Linked DNA regions of Tribolium castaneum. Each later gene encodes a partner of the first gene's protein in a complex. Links are inferred from orthologs where the notes say so. Each region holds a gene or a part of one and is shown in the gene's direction. Other genes may lie near its edges.

Region 1 (4,841 bases):
TAGTCTAAAAAGAAGTTATTTCTACTTTTTTAAGTTGTTGAACCCATTTTTTGTTCATTTGTGAATTTTTGCGTTTTATTAATAAGTAATAAGCCAAAAAATCGTCGAATAATTTAATTAATCTTTAGTTTTGTTCATTAATTCGAAATGGTATTCTAAAGAAATAAAATAAGAATTGTTTGTTACGTGGCAAATAATTGATTAGTTAAATTTGTATTTTTTTACTTTCTTTTTTATTTGTCGTTTGTTCTAACCAACAAAAAAAATTGAAGACAGGTTGTTGGTGCATGGACGCGTCATTTTCATTTTGAGTGACTATGCATTACCCAAACCCGTTTCAGCTCTCACTGGATTCGAAACCAAAAATAAATTTACTGTGAAAAACAGCTTAGGCCAAAAAGTATATTACGCCGTCGAAGACTCCGATTGTTTAACTCGAAACTGTTGCGGTCCAATTCGGCCGTTCGACATGAACATTTTAGACAATTACAAAAACGAAGTGATTCATTTGCACCGTCCTTTAGCGTGTGATTCTTGTTGTTTCCCGTGCTGCCTCCAAGTACAGTCGATTTCCGCGCGAATTTCTTGCATTTCATTCATTCATTCCAGAGCATAGAAGTTTCAGCGCCTCCTGGCACAGTTGTAGGAAGTGTGGAGCAGGAATGGAGCATCTTTTGCCCAAGTTTCGCGATTAAAAATCCAAGTGGCGAAACGGTTCTCCGAATAGAAGGACCGTTTTGTACGTTCAGTATTTGTGGAGACGTTGAATTTAAGATAATGTCTGCTGATGGTAACACACAAGTGGGAAAAATTTCCAAACAGTGGTCGGGTCTTATCAGAGAAATGTTTACCGATACTGATTATTTTGGGATAACGTTTCCAATGGACTTGGACGTAAGAATGAAAGCTGTTATGCTAGGAGCCTGCTTTTTAATTGTAAATCTAAGAATATTGAAAATTTGGTCACATGTTATTTTGTCTCTTTTTAGGATGCTATGTTCTTTGAAAAGTCGAGAAACAAAGAAGAGGATTCTCCAGGCATGCTTTAATTTTTGTGCATTTATGTGATTGTGTGGTTAATTTTTATTTTAAGCGTCGTTGCACAATGTATTTTTTATTGTTGAATTTATAAAGACGTGTCAATTTAATATTATTAACTGATGCTTAGAAAATGGCCTTCCCGACTATAAATTAATATATTATATATATTCTTAATACTATAACTAACTGTTTACATATTATATTCTCGTAATAATTGTACAATTTACCAATATAACGTTACCATTAGTTGCTTTTCATTTATTAACTCCATTTTTCATATTCTGTTGCACTACAATTACACCTAACGCTTCTCTGTTAAATGTTACTGAAACTATGCCCAAAATAGTACGTAAAGTAGTACTTTTCCGGACCCCTTTACTTCTTATTACATAATTAAAGCTAACGTAATAGTCCATATTGCTGGTCGCATTGATTTTCAAAATGTTCAAAATAAAGAATTTCATATTCTTAAGCAGGTAAGTAAAATTGTAATAATTGTATTATTAAATGAAATAACGGGCAAAGCTGTCTGGTTGTCGTGCAGTAAATAAAGTTTTATTTAGCAAACGGTACACAATTATAATAAAGTAAAACTGAAACAAAAAAGTAGAAGATCCGTTTGTTAAATATTATTTTTATTTTGGTGGGTTGGTGTTAGTGCGCATGCTTGGCGTCCTAGGGATGTTTCAAAAGTGGTTCCAACCTCTGTTCCTGTTGTCGTCAACCTGTCAAAATGTGCTTTAAGTTGGTAGTTGTGTTATTAAAATTGTTTTCTTTTTAAACGTTTTAAAACAATGTTATAATTACTGTAATAGAAACTGTGTACGCTTAAAACGTCAATAAAATGCTTGAACCCCGAGATGTAGCTGAGAAGAAATTAAATGCTGAAACCAATAGTGAGTAACATAACCTAACTTTCTGCAAAATTTTATAAAACCATATTTTAGGATTAATTGGTGAAGTACAGCTGCTTCAGTACGGCAATTTTTTAGATAAGTACAGTGCTGATTTAAATCATTTTAAAGAGAAGCTTCCAAATAGATTCAACGTGCGATTAGAGCCAATTTTACTTCAGGTTCAATCGGTGCAAAAAGAGGGGCTTTTTTAAATATTTGTGATTTTAGAGCTCTAGAACTGAAAATGTGTCTCTGTTGCATTTAGTACACTCAGATAATAAGCTTTTGAGTCGAATTTTGGCCAGTTTAGCTGCTGTTTGTGAAGAAATTAATTTACTAGTGGAGGAAGCCAGGACGTACTATCCCGTTTTTGTTTTCTATGGGGAAGGTACGATTATATAAACTGATCAAATCTTGTCACAAAAATTCAATCCGAGATATGAACAGGGTGGGAAAAATTAAATAATATATGTATTTCTCAAAGTAATTGAGATACGACTTAAAAATTATTGCGCAGTGTTTTGTTATTTAATAATCCTTTTATTTCTAAAACGACCACGTTTTATGCATTGCGCATCATGTTATAGTTAATTTACCACTTGTTTATTATTAAAAAGTTAAATTAATATTAATTTATTAAGGAAAGGTAGAAACACTCTTAGGAAGAAAACAGCAAAAAATCGTTATTCGGGCGAACTTTTGGCAACAATTAGTTCGGGTTATAGAGGTTCTACTACATTTAATTTATCCCCTATATACAGGTTGTCCCAGTGGGTAGGTAAAATCCACTATTCGCTGTGGTGTAATTAATTATTGAAGACAGACAAGCTTATTTTGGTTATATAATTTATAACTGACGTTTTTGGGGCTTCTTTAGGGCAATAAATAGGAAATCATTCGTATAATGTGGAGGGGAACCATTTTGTTAAACAGATACTATTATTCACCTTTAAACAATGTTAGAAAAGTAATATTTTTCCCTAAGCCATAAATACTAACCCCCTGCCTTACCTGAAAGAATTTTCAAATATACAGGATGATTCCGAAATTAGCTACAGTGCAAACTTATGTTTTTTCAATTGAACATCCTACATTTTTTTGCATTTTTGGATGTAGATTTTAGAACCAATGATTTAGAGTGTAGACTTAACTTTTATTGGTCAATTTTGCTTAGTTTTTGAAATATTTAAAAAAAACACGCACTTTTTAAAAATGTATTGCTCAAAAACGTAAGATTCTTAGAACAGTTGGACTTTGACTACATTAAAGAAGAATGTTCAAACTTAAATCGGTACCAATTGATTAACGCATTTCAATTAGAAACGTAGAAAAATTATGATGTTTGTTAATATTTAAATAACGTGAATAGGGGAACACCCTATTTTTTGTTTTTGCTTCTCAAGGATTATGAAATCTATCTAAAAACATAAAGTTTCGAATACCCTAAGTTAATAATGGAAAAGATTCATGAGCATTGCCGTTACCATAGTAAAGCATAACCATGGTTTACCATATGGTTACCATAACCATAGCAACTCCACCACGGATCATTTGTTAGAGTTTTATGCAGGCATTTAAAAATCTATCATAAATATTAAAATTGTAATTATTTTTTTACTGCAAGGAATGACGAATAATGGCATCAAAGTTATTATTAGCTGAAAATTTCACTTTTCGACTACTGAAACAATGGTACTTTAATAATTTTTAATGATTTTTTTAATGCTTACAAGTTAAATATCTTTTGAGTAAACAGCAAGAGGCACTTAACTGTTATTGTTTTTAGGTACACATATAGAGTAAAAATAAAAAATAGGGTGTTTTATTTAAAAAATTTAAGTTATTCATCTTTTAACAAACCTCTTAATTTTTTTGTTTTCTTGATTTCGTGAGCTAAAAAAATTATGTCCTTAAAAATTGAACATTCTTGTTTAAAGTGGTGAAAGTCCTACTTTTTTTGAAATGTTATTTTTTTAACAATGCATACATTTTATTAAAAAAATTAAAATACGGGGTAGTTTAGGCCAGCTCCCATCTTCTGTAGCTCGGTTATTATACTTATAAGGTGATGTTTTAATATTTTGTAGATGATATTTATACTCTAGGACACATTTTCGGAAAATATTTTTGACTATACAGATTGTTTCAAAAAAGTATGACGTTATAATATTTTTTTAATAGCATGCTATTATTTTTTTGTGTTTATTATGATACCTTTTTAGCTTATTACATCTCCATAAAGTCCTTCTCAAATCAGTTCAGGGATTACTGTTAAAAAAATAAAAACCAAAAAAAAATCAGTTTTACATCTTAAAAATTACTAAAAAATGGAAATAGTGCTTTTTTGATGACATTATTACTAGGTACGTGTTGAGCAAGGTCTAATAGACTCATTAATTAAGCTTGATTGATTTAAATTAGTACAGGGTGTTTTGCAGCATTTCTGGGTTACATTTTTTGTTTTTTGTTTTTTAATTTTTTGCCCTCTTAACACTACTTTTTTATTGCTTAAATCGATAAAGTAATCAATTGCGAATAATTTTTTGTTATTACCAAATTAAAAGGCATGTTCTCTTTAGTAAATCTACCATGTTTTGTAATATTTGGTCAAATTGTTCCAAAGTTATGGTGCAAAAACGTCTTTCCATACTCCTAATTCCCAGGACTGTAAAATTCTTATAAGTTTCGATAGGACACGAGTTATAATCTCAATTGGCATCATTTTATAGGTCCTTTTTGAGGTTTATTTATTGGCTCATAAATACGAATAACCCTGTATAAAAAAGTAAGCAAAATCGCCATATAATAGTTTCGATCAAAAGCTACATCCAAAAATGAAAAGAAAAGAGTGGTCCATTTAAAAAATGTAAGTTTATATTGTATATTTGAAAATAATTTTAGGTG
Region 2 (4,880 bases), on another chromosome or scaffold:
CGTCAAAAACGTGATTTGTTTCTTGTTTTTTTTTTGTTTGATTGATTTATTTTGTGTTTTTTTATTTATCTGATGTGTTTTTAGAGCCGGGTATGCTTAAGCGAAAGAGGCAAAAGTATCATGACCCAAGCCAATTGTTAAGACATGTTGAGGAAAGTGACAAACAAAGTAAGTTTTTTTCCATTTTTTGGTGGTGGGTCATTTTGCTCAAAACTGATTGGCCGAATTCAGCCAATGAGATTGTTTTACTTTATTACGACGAAACTTGTTTATTGAAATGTTTTATTACTAGTCATAGTTATTTAGTCACTGTTATTTTATTGTTTATTACAATCACAACTCTCTGATGGACAGGGAACTATTTATACGTCAGTTTGGCAATTCAAATTTGACGTGCTAATGTCACAATGTTTATTATTTATGTTTCTGTTTTTTTTTTTGCTTTTTTTGTAAGTTAATTCTTCGAAAATCATTTGAAAAAGTTATTTTATCTAGAGCGGTCTTGCTTTTATGTCATAATCTGACATTAAAACTGTCACTGATGTGTCAAATTTCGCGTTACAGCCTACTCTAGGTATATTTTTAGCTCGTTAAAAGTGACACTGACAGTGCTCATGTCTTATATTTGAATTTTTTAACCTTTTTTTAAATTAAAAAGCCGCGATATGTCGCCTATTACGCCCAAAATCGAAATCCCCCATCCATCAATGGGGCTGTGATCGGAATTATTACACAAAGTTATACAATTTTAAGTGTGTTGATGTTCAATTGTTTGGAAAGTTTAAAGGTAGATTGTTAGTGTTTTCTAAAGGCTTTATATCTTTATATCAGCTGAAGTATTAAAGTTTTTTACAAGTAAACAGTCTTTCATTGCGTCATAAGCTGCAGCCAACTGTCACCGGAATTAAGGTACATGAATGTTTTGCATGATTTTTTCTTATAACTTGTTTTGTTTTATTAATTGGTTGAGCTTATGTTGGCTAACAATTGGTTTGTTTAGTAGTTTTGCGTGATTTTAAGTTAATTTGTGATTTGGCCAATTTATTAATGATTTTTTGTTAGGGACGCACCAACCCTTCCTACTCAACATTCCATCCGAAGGCATTAAAGTCGAGCCCAGAGGTAATTTAATTTTATATTTTTCCCCGCTTTAGTGTTTTTTTCTAGATAAGGCGCCTTCGCCGTACGGCGGGCAGATGTTCGAGGCGCCCATCCCGAACGTGTCGCCCCATTACGTGGCCCCCACGCCCCCGGAAGCCCCTCTGTTCCAGAACGTGCTTCCGCCAATCGGAGGCATGATGAACTGGAATATGCCTTCGACTTCAGTAGTCGGCGATATGTTAAACATGAATTGGAATCCTTCCGCCCAAAATGATCTCAGTGGTGTTAATTTAAGTGAAACGCCAAGTGGTATAAGCAGTTTATTAAATCTGGACAATCAACAATTGGAGTTGAAACCGATTGACTTAAACTCGGGTGATTTAAGCATGCTTGAGACAAATAACTTGTCAGAGACTTTCACCCAAAATCTATCGCTTATGGACGAGAGTGAGGGGCGCCAGGAGCCGAATATGACTGATAGTTTAACGCGATTGGCCAATAGCGCGCTAGATAATATTTGCCAAGCTAGTGATATGTACAAGGGTGCTCCATGAAACCACCATTACTTAAGTCTAAGTAATGCAAAAGCGAGTTCAATATTTGACATTAAATATAACAGTACTGTGTACCGCCCTAAATTCAATGATAGTTTTCTTATAAAATTGTTAAGGTTTGTAGTTTAGTCTATATCAAGTTTATTTATACTGTGATTGTTTTTATATTTTACAAGATGCAATGTTATTTTATAAATCTGGCATAATAAATCTGTTTTATTGAGCGTGTTTGCGTTTGTTAATTGCATAAAAAGCGATCCTTTCGCCACAATCTAACCTCAAACGTCACTTTTGACAGCTGTCACTCAGGTTCTTTGTGTCCCTTTGGAGCCAATTAATTCAATAAACTTGTGCCGATGCCTTGATTCCCCCTAATTTTGAGTGTTTTTCACTCAGATAATGTAAATAATGCAAGTGAACGACCTTTCCTCAATTGATCCAAATGTGGATTACACGCAGGTAAGTCTTTGAAAAAAGCGACCCATTCGAGCAACAATCACGTCCAACTTCTCCACTTAGATTTTACCCATTCAACAAAAGCGCACGATTGCTTTTATCAATCATTTCGTAATGAATACGGTGTCGTTTTTAAACCATTTTGCACAGTCGTGTGAATCGCGTTTGATGGAATTCGAGTACAAACTGCAAGAAGTTGAGGCTTCTTTACTTATACTTGAGTCGCAAGTAAGTATTGAACAATGCTAGAATGCCTTAAGTTCCGATTATTTGGCGCAAAAGTGAGTCGGTTGTGTTAGTTAGGTTCAATTGCGCATTTAGAAGAAAACACTGCAAAGGACTCGCCTAAACAAAACGATTTAGATCTGCCTCCTGTTAAAGACGAGGAGACGCAAATTGAAAAAAATGTAGAGGTAGAGCCTGATGTTGCGTCAGACCCGCGATATCAACGCTTTTTCAAAATGTTGCAATTTGGGGTTCCCCCAGCTGCTGTCAAGCTGAAAATGCAAACAGAGGGACTTGACCCTTGCATATTGGAGTAAGTACTACTATCACTGGCGAATCAGCAACACGTCCGTTATTTTTTAGTTCCAAATCAACTGATACGCAAGACAGTTCCTCGGTTAATTAATTGTGTTAAAAAAACATTGTTAAAAGTATAAATAAAACACGTTATGAATTTTTACAAAATGTGTTTATTTAGTCAAACAATTAGAACTGAATCATTTGTCCCTTGCGCTTCTTGTCGCCACCCAATTCAAAGTGCTTGCAGCGTTTCAAGGGAATCTGTTTCCTATATTTACATTCAGTGCATTCCATCCTGAGCACGATTTTCTTGGTGGTTTTAGCCTAAAAACACACAATAGCCCCACACTCAAAGTAGGTAAAAAAATACCTTCTTCCTGAAGATGGGCTTGGTTTGTCCACCGAAACCTTGCTGCTTCCTGTCGTAACGTCTCCTACCTTGCGAAGCGTGACGTTCCTTGGACTTTTTGTATTGGGTGACTTTGTGCAACTTGTGCACCTTGCATTTCTTGCAGAAGGTGCGCCTCTGCTTCGGGACGTTAACCTAAAAACAATGACATAACCCCACAATTCATCAAACGTCCTCAAAACGCGAAAATAAACAGGAATGTGCCCTTCCAAGGACGCCAAATGCACGAATTCGCTAAATTTTCGGTAATTCAAAGGCCGATTATTGCGATTTTTTGAGATATTTGATTGAAAACCTGCTTACCATCTTGGGATTTTCTTTATTGCAAAAAAAAGAGAGAGATGCAACGTGTCACACTATGCGCATGCGTCGTTTACATTGGCGCGAATTTTGAATTGCTATATTGGATGAAAGATAGAAAAGTGTTTCGTTATAAGTTTATAGAGTTTTAATTCGTTTCACGTGGTCGCAAGGAAAAATAGAAGAAAAAGTTTTTAAGACGCATTTTTGCGGCCACAAGGGAAAGGCGTTTTAATTAGTGGGTAACAAGTCGTGCCGAATAGTTCCCTTTTAAATTGAGTCAATAATCGGCTGTTTTTCTGCATAATAATAAAATGAATGTGATTGTGGAGGGAAATTTTTTGAAGAGCGCCCCTGGCGGTGGCATACTCAAACCACGTTTTTAATCTCGGTCCGGTTCGTAAAACTCAATCCGTGCTCTCGGAACCCTCATGAGCAAACACCTTGCAATTAATTTCATAAAATCTGGCGCACGTTTTTTGGGTCCGAGACACCGAAAAAGCTTGGAATTTGTTGTCTTTTGGTTTTTGGCGGTTGGTGTGAATAAATAGTTTAGGGAGTCGAAAGCCGGTCACTCGTCCAAGTCCGGGGCCGATCGGTTTGAGCGGCGCCATCTTAATTTTTGAACAAAGCTAACGAGTAGCCGGTCAGTAGTGTTCAACGTTGGTGAACGTCACTTTTCGATAAAGCGTGAAACCCACACAGGAATATAAACAAAATGAGTTCGAAAGAAAATAACGAAGTTGCTGTCGAAAAAATCGACAACGACAAAAGTGCGCCCGACGCCAAATGCGAGTTAAAAGGCACGAAGCGAGCGGCGGAGGTGAGTTCGACTGTTTCTTTCGCATTTACGCTGCTTTGCGATAAGGTCACATGGCCGTTGGATGTTGTGGTCGGGATTTTCGCGTGGAAAACGCGCGGAAACGCCGTTTTCACGCGTTTTCCGCGGGATGGTTGCCATGTGAACGGGGCTTTTTCCCGGCGCGGAGGCGGCTTTGCGACAATACGATGCTAAATTTGTTGTTGCCATGGTGTTTTCGACTGTTTTTCATTATGGCATGCGGTGTAAACACGCTTGGAAAGCATCCCGCCATATACAATGGACCCCGGGTTGAGGCTAGCATCGCTTGCTCGATTCAATATGGCGAAATCAATAGCAACTTGGAGGCGTCCTCGTGCGAGGCTAGATGCCACACTAATATTTTAATAACATCGGATTCTAGAAAGATTTCCGCGTGCGAGTTGACGATTTCGTTGCAAATTTCACGATAACCCGGAGATTGACCACTTTGGTCCGGTTTTTCAATGCAAAGCGTCTCATAAAGCTCGCTGGAATCAACAGAGTTGGACATTTTTGATGCTACGCTAACGAGTGGCAAAGATTAAGATCCATCATGGATCAGAATTGTGAATGAAAAGAGCGTTTTTAGTTAGTTTGCTTGTTTATTTCCATTTTCTCGAGCAAGTCGTGGTAGCCATGCTTTCCGCGGCCCACTTGGCGATTTTCTGATCTGACGTATTTTATTTCTCGGAGA
Region 3 (4,046 bases), about 4.1 Mb from region 1:
TATAACATCAGCAACGCAAGCTCTTGCTTTAATTGAGCTTTTTAACGCCCCAGCGGGGCGTTACAAATCTGACGTTTATCTTTTACCGAAAAAAATGGGTATTGACCTTAGGTTTGAGTGGGAAAAATTCTAATCAAAGTTTTATAGATGAGTATGTAGCGAGTTTACATTTACCGACCTTTGATGCCCACTTGACTGAATTGACGGACGAACAGGCTAAGTATATGGGCCTAAATAAAGCTGGACCTTTCAAGCCTAACTATTATAGGTAAGCGGGTTTGGCTTGATTGCCGATTATTGATGTTTTCGTTTAAGGTATTAAAAATATAAAGTTTTATCCATAATAAACGGGGTGAAGGAATAAAGGAACACGGTAGCATTAAGTCAATGTTAGTTGTTGCCAGATAGTTTAGCTATAATAAATGCAGGATTGATCATTTTTTAATGGTTGCTCAACCAATTCATGTTTCATAATTTTACTGAATCAAAAGTATTATTACTTAACACAAACAGTATTTTTTCTGCTAGTATTTATTTACATATCTCAGGATTTTATGAAACATTAATTGTGAAAAAATCGTTACGTTGTTTCAACTGTTGATTCATGGGTAAGGCTTCTGATCTTATTTAATTTTAATAAAAATTGGCGCAATGTTGAAACGCCTTCCCGTGAATAAAAATACGTTACTTACATGTTTGAAACAAAACTCGTGCATATGTAATCACTATCAGGTCTAGTATGTCATTGTTTTAGTTGTATTAAGTTACGTACTTAACTCGTTCTGGTTTTATTAATGGATTTAATAAGTGTATCTGATTGATTTTGTGATGAAGTCCAATGGTTTGTTTGTTTTGTCTCATCCCAGACGCTAGTCCAGTTGAATTGATACGCTTTTTATTAAGTAGTGCCAACACCCTCTAGCACTAAAATAATTTAAATGCAACCAGTTTGTTTAGCCGTTTTGACGTTAGTGATTTTGGAAAGTATTATTTTATAATGAGGATTTTTTACGGTCCTCCACATTTTAAATTATTATTGTTATTGTCAATATTACGACAAATTGTTACAAGTTAATTGCTCTACTTGAAGAAATTACTGAAGCAATTATACTCCACAATAACTTGCCTTTATCAACTTACAGCAGAGCAATCAACAACTCTTGTTAAGAAACCGGAATTGCGACTCTGTTTTTGAAGGCTGTTTTAAGGCTTTCAAAGACAGAATTGTCACATTTTTAAACGTACTTCTGTATACAAATTATCTTTAGATCTATATCTTTCTTTCGATATTTTATTTTAATCCACAAATCACATCATTCACAGCGTGACCCACGGGTCCGCCGTCTTCTTCTTTCTATGCCGTAATATAGAAATTAATACGTCAATGTGTTTTATTTTTATTCCTAAAACCTAAAACAATTTTTTGTCCTAACACAATTTGAAATTACTAGTAAATGTTAATTTATTGAGCTTGCGAATGGCGACACTGCTGTGATAAGATGACGTAAAAAACAAAACATAACCTGCAAAAAGTGTAGAGTGTAGTGTCATTTTTTTAATTAATTAATGTAGTTAGTTTATTTAAAATGAATCATGTTTACAAAGTACCTGTAATCCCTCAAAACTTGAATAAACAGGAAACAATCGTTCAGGTGGCTGAAGTATTAAATCATTTAACGAACGTAACAGATGACATATTAAAACATATAAATAACAGAATTGAATCTAGCAGAAAAAAGATATCAAACATATCCGAACGTGTCGATAAAGTGAAAATGAAAATAAACAAATTGAACGGTGCAAAAAAAGCAACACAAGTGTTTTCAAGTTGTAAATACCCAGCGTCCGATGTAAATCAACCCTATATTTCAATATTTAGCGACGTTAAACCTCCTGAATTAGTACGACATAAAGTGAAGCAGAAAAAAGCCCCATCAAACGATGAACATTTAGATAAATTGTACATCTACCACGTGAAACTCAAAAAAAATGAGAACAAAGAGACGTTCGGCGGCTTGGGGGAAATCCCCAAAGACTCGGAATGCGTAAACGACCTACTCCTCTACAATTCCGGCAAAAACCTCTACACGAATTTCGTAATGTCCGACCCTTTGGAAATCTCCCAACAAATCAAAGAACAAGACCACAACGACAGTTCGAGCATCGGGGCAGCCCCCTTCTCAATCAGCGAACGCTCAACCCTGACGCGCTCCTCCACCCAGAACTACTTCTACACCCCCAACTTGGGGGAAGTCCCGGCGCTCGACGTGCCCCTGGATCTGCCCGATTTGCCCAACATTGCCGACGACCTGCGGTACGACACGGAGTTGGGCCCCGGGATCGCCCCCTCAGTCACCACGACCCCGAACATCCCCGACCTGCCCACAATCGAACCCGCCAACCCCCAGCCCAAGGAGGACTTCCCCGAAATCGAACTCCCGCCGCCCCCAACACCCGCCAAAGAAATTGAGGAGCAAGTCCCAGAGAAGGTTGAAACGCCCAAACCGCCCACACCACCCACTGAACAGGTGGAGGAAGCCCCCAAAATCACCGAACTGCCCCAGCTGGACGTGCGGGCCAGCCTCATGGAGGCCATCAGGAAAGCGGGGGGCGCCAAAAATTTGAAAGCCACAAGTGCCGACAGGGAGCAAACGACGGCAAAACCCGTGGTTAGTTTTCGACTTTTGTTGATTGAAAAAGTTTAATAATTAGTTATTTGTTTTACAGACTGGGGGCGACTTGATGGCTGATTTGCACGCCAAGCTTTCCATGCGCAGGAAGGGCATCTCAGGTACTAAAAAGCAGGAAAGTTTGGACGCAAGTAGTGCGTTAGAAAAAATCTCGGCCATGATTCCGCCGCCCATTCGTAGCGAGAGCAACGAGAATAATACCGAAGACGAAGACTGGGATGATTAATTCATTTAATATTATATTTTATATCAATAAATATTATCATGTTACATAATGATTGTTTTCTTTACCCAATAAATTAATACAATTGTGCGCTAACTGTAGCAGGAATAACAAACTGCGACATTATGATCGTATCTAAAAAAAAACATTTAATTTTTTGAGCCACTCGGAACAAAGCCACTCACGTGGGAAATGAGCAATCGTTACAAAACCCATTACTGCATTTATGGCACATATTTGTGCACTGCAAACATAACGCGTGTTCACAATAGTTACAAATGACCCCCGAGGGGGCTTCTTTTGAACATACAGTACACATCAGTGAATGAGGTTCCTACAAATCAAATTAATAAAGTCTCACACCGATTCACATATTCTACCTCATTTTTCTCGCGTTTGGAGGCCCCCTTATATAATAACTGGAGCGTCCGCTCTGAAACAAATAATAAAAAACTGACATAACCTCAATGTGGTTACCTGACGACGATGAGCGAATTTTCCGCGATTTTGATAAACTATTTTGTTGTTTTTTCACCGGTTGTACGATATCGTAATCCGGATAAGGCCGTTTTGGCATTTTTTACTCTTAAATTACATTTCAAATCCTCACACTAGCGGCAAAAAATGTGGCAGTGCTGCCAAATGACTGACAGACGAAAAGAAGCGCGAGATGAAAGTTTAAAAATTAAACACAAAAACAAGTCCGTGCTTATTTTTGTGTTAAACATTTTCTAATCCCGTTTTAATACACATTTGTACATTATTTTAGAGGGGCAAAATAATAATAATAAAAATAATAATAATAATAATAATAATAATAATGATAATAATAATAATAATAATGATAATAATAATAATAATAATAATAAAAATATTATTAAATATTATAAATAATCTTTATTATGGGCGAAGTTTAGCCGAAGCTATTCCAACATAATCCTTAATTATAAATAATTATAATCAAGCTTGAATAAAAAAAATAATGAGAATGAAAAGAAGAAAGTAAATAGTAAAAAAAATTTTTTTTTTATATTTTATATACAATTTGTCTGCTTACTTTTTTTTTACTTCTTTGCAAAAACGTTTAAAGGAAGCGGCTTGAAATGCGCAATTAATTTAATGCAGGCATAAAT
Region 4 (5,083 bases), on another chromosome or scaffold:
GCCCCTTGCTGCTCGTTTAAAATTTGGCTGTGTGGTTTGCCTTTCTGCTGCAAAACCTCCAAAGATCTGGAAGAGAATGGTCGAAAAGTGCGGGTAGATTGGCATTTTCACCTCAAAATTTTGCGCTTGTTGTTGGGGTGCAGCCTGCGGGCCATGGCGGGGTCCAGAAGCTGCAATTTTTTGTGCAGCTCTTCGCTGGATAATTCATGGTCGATGTGTCTGGATGGTAGCGCTTTTACATGGTCCCCGGGTTCTTCAATTAAAATTTTCCACAAGAGGGACTCGATATAATAATTAGTTCCACCAACGATGATGGGTAATTTATTTTTATTTATTAAATTCTCGATCTGAATAAAATTTAAGGAATCTTGGGGAAAAAAGTGGGGCATTCTTGCTTTTATGGCTAATAAAATTCGGGCGTTTGATATGCAAAAAATGATTCATTTGTTCCGGGGATTAATTATTTTTTCAAATATGCTTCATGAATAAAACACCTGCTGCAGAGAGGAGGAAATAGACGCAACAGCTGAAATTGTAAGTAGGACCTAAATTTATTTTATAGTAATTTTATTTCCAAGGTCACAAATTTCGGTTTCAGCCTTGATTGTGTGGTGTAATGGACTACACGTGGAAATGGGTAGAGGAAACAAGTGACGAAATAAGCAAACGTGTTAAAATTTCTTAATTTCTGAAGGATACAATTTTTAAAGCGCTATTTCGGTACTGGACCACCGTAAAAGTCTCATGAGGCTCCAGAATGTCAATTAGGTGGTGAGGGGCCACGTTTTGTTCCTCTTTCGTTGCTTTCGCTGTTATAATATCGAGGCCTTTGTACACCTACATAATTTTTTGTTACGTATTTCGGAAAATAATTAATTAACTTTTAATGTCGTTGAACTTGGGTAAGTAAACATTTTCAAACATTCAACCGCAATGAAATCATAATTCAGACGATGATTTATTATTCCGACCTTTGCTCGGGACTTCTTTCATACAGGTGTTAACTTTTCGTCAAGTTAATCATTCTAAGTGCTAAAACAATTTGGTAGCCTTGAACGTGACACAATGACCGAGCAAGGCTACCGCCTTTGTTTACATGGAGTTTACGCCAATTTAACAATTTCTCATGTTTGAGACGGGCGGAATATTGTTAGAAAATTAAAAAAGTTATTAAATTTAGTGACCTTGAGTTATGCAACCCATTATGCAAGGTGTATAATTGGTTGCACACCGATTTAAATCAATTTTACCCATTTTTTTGTGATAAAAAAACAGAATTAAATAAATCATGAATTAAAATAATTAAATACCTGCATCGAGTCTGCACTTATTATCTCCCCTTTAAATTTCTGCGCCAGTTCAAGGGATAATTTGGTTTTACCCGAACCGGTAGCCCCCAAAATAACAACTAATGGTAACCTAAGGGCCATTATTGGGCACTAACAAAGTTTTCTCATTTATTTGGGGCTGGAATTAATAATTTTCACAATTAATTAACTTTTACACAACACGTGTTTTTTTTTAACAATTTATGAATAATTTGTACTTGACACTGTTAATAATAAATAAAAATTAATAGTATAATTACCTGATATCAAAATTAATAAATGTTGTTGTTTTTTGAGTTTTTATACCTCGTGTTTTGGCACTTTTTCTCAAAACTAACCTCAAAATGGACTGTCAGCTGATTGTACACTACAAGTCACTTTTAATGACCCCTGACTAATTTTCGAAAATTTAGATTTACATATGAATAATAATTGTGGTGTGTTGTATCGGGTGCAAGTATGTAAACGGTTGTCCAATTAATTCTGTAATTGGATATTAAATACAATCGTGTTTTCGCAAGCTCATTATTTCGTCCTATGACTGTACAACCTGTTAATAACTGTCATCAAAAGTGAGGTTATCTGTGATTTTTTTTATGTAAATAAACAAGATTTTTTCACGAAAATGCCGGATTTTCTGGCAGAAAATAACATTTGCGGCCAGACAATTCTCCAGTTAGTCTCACGAGGCAATGCCATCATTGCCGAACTGCTCCGCTTGAAAGACTACATCCCCCAAACTTACAGGTTTGCAAAACTAAAAATTTGATTTTTCTTGTATTAAACACTTGCAGATTGGGGAGCAAGGAAGAGGTTCAAAAATACGGCGAGATAATCATGGACTTTAGCTATTTTAAAATTGAGGAAGCGCAGAATTACAAAATTGAGAATTCGGAGGTAAGGCTGTTTTTGGACAGAGAAACTAAATTAAAAAAGTGTAGTTGTTGCAAGATTTGGATGAGGAGTTTCGTGATAATCACATCGAGATGATTAATCGGTTTTATCTCACGTTTGAAAGCATCCACACTTATATTACGGATTTGAACCACTTTCTTGACGAGTTGGAGGAAGGGTTATATATCCATCAGAGTCTAGAGACGATTTTTGCCGACATGGAGGGGAAACAACTGCTTGTAATTGGTTTTTACGTAATTGGGGGGCCAATGACGGAGTTAATTTTTCTAGTGTGAAGCTTTATTTTTGTACGGTTTAATGCTGCTAATCATAGACACGTATATAGAGGGCCCCATCCGTGAGAGACTCCTAGTGTCTTACTATCGCTACACTCCGCAAAGAAGCGACACTCAAAGCCAAATCGACGATGTTTGCCGATTATTACGCGACACAGGGTTTCACACGGCGAAAAAACCCAATAATTATCCTGAGGATTATTTCCGGTAGGTTTGTAATTCAATTCGCTGCTCTAGTGAACAGGTAACTTTGTTCTTACCAAAGTGTCTCACTTCGAAAAAATTACTAGATATGATGAAATTTCATTAGGCCTGGCAAGGCGACAGACATCTCGTGATTTTTAAATTAGTTATAATTTGAAAATACACAACCTTCTTTGGTGAACAGAATTTCAGAAGTCGATGGATTCAGGGATGTAATTATTTTGCATAAATATTATTATTTTGTAAAAGATACGACGAAAAATCGCCAAATTGTGTCTGAAAGGATGTAATTTTTACATTTTACGAGAATTTAAGAGGTTTTTAAATTAGGGTTTTGTGGAGTGTCGCGTAACCGGGTCGAAAAATCACTGAATTTTGGTGCATTTTTCAGCCAGAAATATATTTGTTTAGCGCAATTTCATCAAAAATACCCCTAAAATTGCCAAATTATTGCGAAAAATGAGTAGTTTTTTTTGCAAACTTTTGCTATATCGACTTGCAAAGATACTAAGTTGTATCGAAAATGACATCTTATTTTTGCATTCTATCCAAAACTTTTGGTGAAAAATAGGTCGAAGAAACACCGTTTTAGGCCCAAAATAACGTTAGTTCAATATGCTTTCAGCTAGAGACTGCATTATGTTAAAAATTTAAAAAATATGCAATTTTTGAATGCTAAACCACTTCTTTGATATAGAACGCAGTTTTTTTGTAAAATTTTGCTAAACTTTTGTTTAAACAAACACAGAATTGGATAGAAAATCATATTATATTTAGTCGTGATTACTGTATAAGCCGAAAAATCGCCGCTTTAGTATTTAAACAAAATTTTTGTTTAAATGTTGTTATTTTTGTCTTTCCCCATCTATGTATACTTACTTAAAGTCAGAGACTCAATTTCCTCAAAAATTATACAATTTTTGAATAGAAACGTGTAATTTTGCTGTACCATGTTGAAAAAACTATAAATTGAAATTGGAAAATGACATTTTTTGCCGTTTTGTATACAAAGCGATCAAAACGCCCTTCTTTCAAGTAGGCGTACAATTTGAGAACGTACAGTTGTGAACACAAAAAAAATGGGACAAGTCTTGTAGCAGATTCTCGATAAAAGTTAGTTCATTAAAACGGATTTTCATCTTAAGTTTTATTTGGGAATAAAATTAACTAAACGTTCTTTGGTGACGACATTTCGTACTTGCCGAAAACAGTACTGTTAATTTCTTACATTAGAGTTTAAAAGTATGTGGTGGTAAATACTAGTATTGCGTTTAGTTGTGCATTTTTTCGTGATTATAAAGTATTTGTGGATAAAAAGTGAAACAGATTTTATTTATGATTACAAAGTGTTATTAAAACAATTGCGTAATCAAAGACTATACGTATTAGATTATAATTTATAACGGAAAGCGAACACATGTTGGGCTCAAAACAAAAACAGTTAATTATTATTGAAGTGTGTGAATTTGAAGTTAGAATTTTTCCACTGAAAAAAAACATGAAACACTTGCGTGAATCTACAGAACTGATGAAGATTAACAACTGCTGATACATTTAAGCATAAATTGCTCTAAAAGGTAGGTTTTCAATATCTTGTTAATAATTATAATACAATAAAGTAAGTGAACAAACAGTCATTCCGTTATTCGTGTTTTTCTTGTGATTTCTAATGTGTCAAAATTCGTACCTTGCACCAAATATACAATAGCCCAAAATTCATACAATGCTCTAAGTATCTGAATAAATATTCTCCCGCCAAAAATCCAAAGTAATCAAAACTATCATCGTCAACATTAGCAATTTGGTTAAAAAGGAAATAATTTCTAAAGCTAAGAAAGGTTTCTAATCAAAAGCAAGATTAATTTACAGAATTAATTCTAATTATAATTAGAATCTCGATCGCCACGAGAATAATTATGTTACACCAGCGAAAAAAATAACTGACGTTATTATACGTAATAGTAAATCGTTTTTATCCCAAAATAGTCTTAAAACATTTAACTGGATTTTCTAAATACACCTCTTGAAAACTTGCAACATAACAATAATTTGCTTAATTTTTTTGACATTTGGCTTGGGTTCTACGCCTACTTAATAGAAGAACTTTTCGATCGCTTTATATTAGCACGAATCCAAAATTTTTCTTGAAAAATCCCTGCTTTTTGGCTCAAAAATCTAACTACAGTTTTCAGCTAGAGACCCGCTTTTATCAAAAAATATACACATTTTTTACCTCAAAGAGGTGCAAAAATACAAAAAATATATTAAGTAAGCTGTGTGTTCACTGAAGTTAAGAGCAAAGTTCCCTGTCCATTCAAAAACAGTAAAAAATAAATAAATATTTGTAGACGCGTTCCTCTT

The links.
Region 2: SWIP (region 1) and CCDC53 share a complex: the UniProt entries of both Drosophila melanogaster proteins name them as parts of the WASH complex. The link is inferred for Tribolium castaneum from reciprocal best matches to the Drosophila melanogaster genes SWIP and CCDC53.
Region 3: SWIP (region 1) and wash share a complex: the UniProt entries of both Drosophila melanogaster proteins name them as parts of the WASH complex. The link is inferred for Tribolium castaneum from reciprocal best matches to the Drosophila melanogaster genes SWIP and wash.
Region 4: SWIP (region 1) and Strump share a complex: the UniProt entries of both Drosophila melanogaster proteins name them as parts of the WASH complex. The link is inferred for Tribolium castaneum from reciprocal best matches to the Drosophila melanogaster genes SWIP and Strump.

Annotation. Positions count from the first base shown.
Region 1 is NC_087403.1:8,604,584-8,609,424, reverse strand, and holds the start of SWIP (WASH complex subunit 4), read left to right. Parts: upstream 1-1,436; 5' UTR 1,437-1,885; coding exon 1,886-1,937; intron 1,938-1,988; coding exon 1,989-2,116; intron 2,117-2,165; coding exon 2,166-2,325; intron 2,326-4,166; exon of another isoform or gene 4,167-4,841. Other genes in the region: scramb1 (phospholipid scramblase 2), read left to right, coding at 342-559, 610-936, 990-1,049. UniProt on the Drosophila melanogaster protein: Acts at least in part as component of the WASH complex which may regulate wash nucleation-promoting factor (NPF) activity and is required for its membrane targeting during endosomal sorting.
Region 2 is NC_087402.1:710,975-715,854, reverse strand, and holds CCDC53 (WASH complex subunit 3), read left to right. Parts: upstream 1-1,932; 5' UTR 1,933-2,063; coding exon 2,064-2,114; intron 2,115-2,174; coding exon 2,175-2,339; intron 2,340-2,410; coding exon 2,411-2,649; intron 2,650-2,699; coding exon 2,700-2,742; 3' UTR 2,743-2,822; coding exon of another isoform or gene 2,823-2,960; 3' UTR 2,961-3,006; coding exon of another isoform or gene 3,007-3,180; 3' UTR 3,181-3,348; coding exon of another isoform or gene 3,349-3,351; 3' UTR 3,352-4,063; coding exon of another isoform or gene 4,064-4,168; 3' UTR 4,169-4,169; downstream 4,170-4,880. Other genes in the region: RpL36A (large ribosomal subunit protein eL42), read right to left, coding at 2,823-2,960, 3,007-3,180, 3,349-3,351; acidic leucine-rich nuclear phosphoprotein 32 family member B, read left to right, coding at 4,064-4,168. UniProt on the Drosophila melanogaster protein: Acts at least in part as component of the WASH complex which may regulate wash nucleation-promoting factor (NPF) activity and is required for its membrane targeting during endosomal sorting.
Region 3 is NC_087403.1:4,500,829-4,504,874, reverse strand, and holds wash (WASH complex subunit 1), read left to right. Parts: upstream 1-1,485; 5' UTR 1,486-1,586; coding exon 1,587-2,669; intron 2,670-2,727; coding exon 2,728-2,916; 3' UTR 2,917-2,965; downstream 2,966-4,046. Other genes in the region: adenosylhomocysteinase-like 1, read left to right, coding at 1-98, 148-268, 316-322; uncharacterized protein LOC103314773, read right to left, coding at 3,006-3,048, 3,099-3,247, 3,294-3,346, 3,391-3,490. UniProt on the Drosophila melanogaster protein: Acts as a nucleation-promoting factor by activating the Arp2/3 complex to induce actin polymerization. Participates in both linear- and branched-actin networks.
Region 4 is NC_087394.1:25,592,672-25,597,754, forward strand, and holds the start of Strump (WASH complex subunit 5), read left to right. Parts: upstream 1-1,746; 5' UTR 1,747-1,953; coding exon 1,954-2,075; intron 2,076-2,122; coding exon 2,123-2,225; intron 2,226-2,269; coding exon 2,270-2,461; intron 2,462-2,513; coding exon 2,514-2,725; intron 2,726-5,070; coding exon 5,071-5,083. Other genes in the region: tRNA dimethylallyltransferase, read right to left, coding at 1-66, 112-347, 700-837, 1,311-1,430. UniProt on the Drosophila melanogaster protein: Acts at least in part as component of the WASH complex which may regulate wash nucleation-promoting factor (NPF) activity and is required for its membrane targeting during endosomal sorting.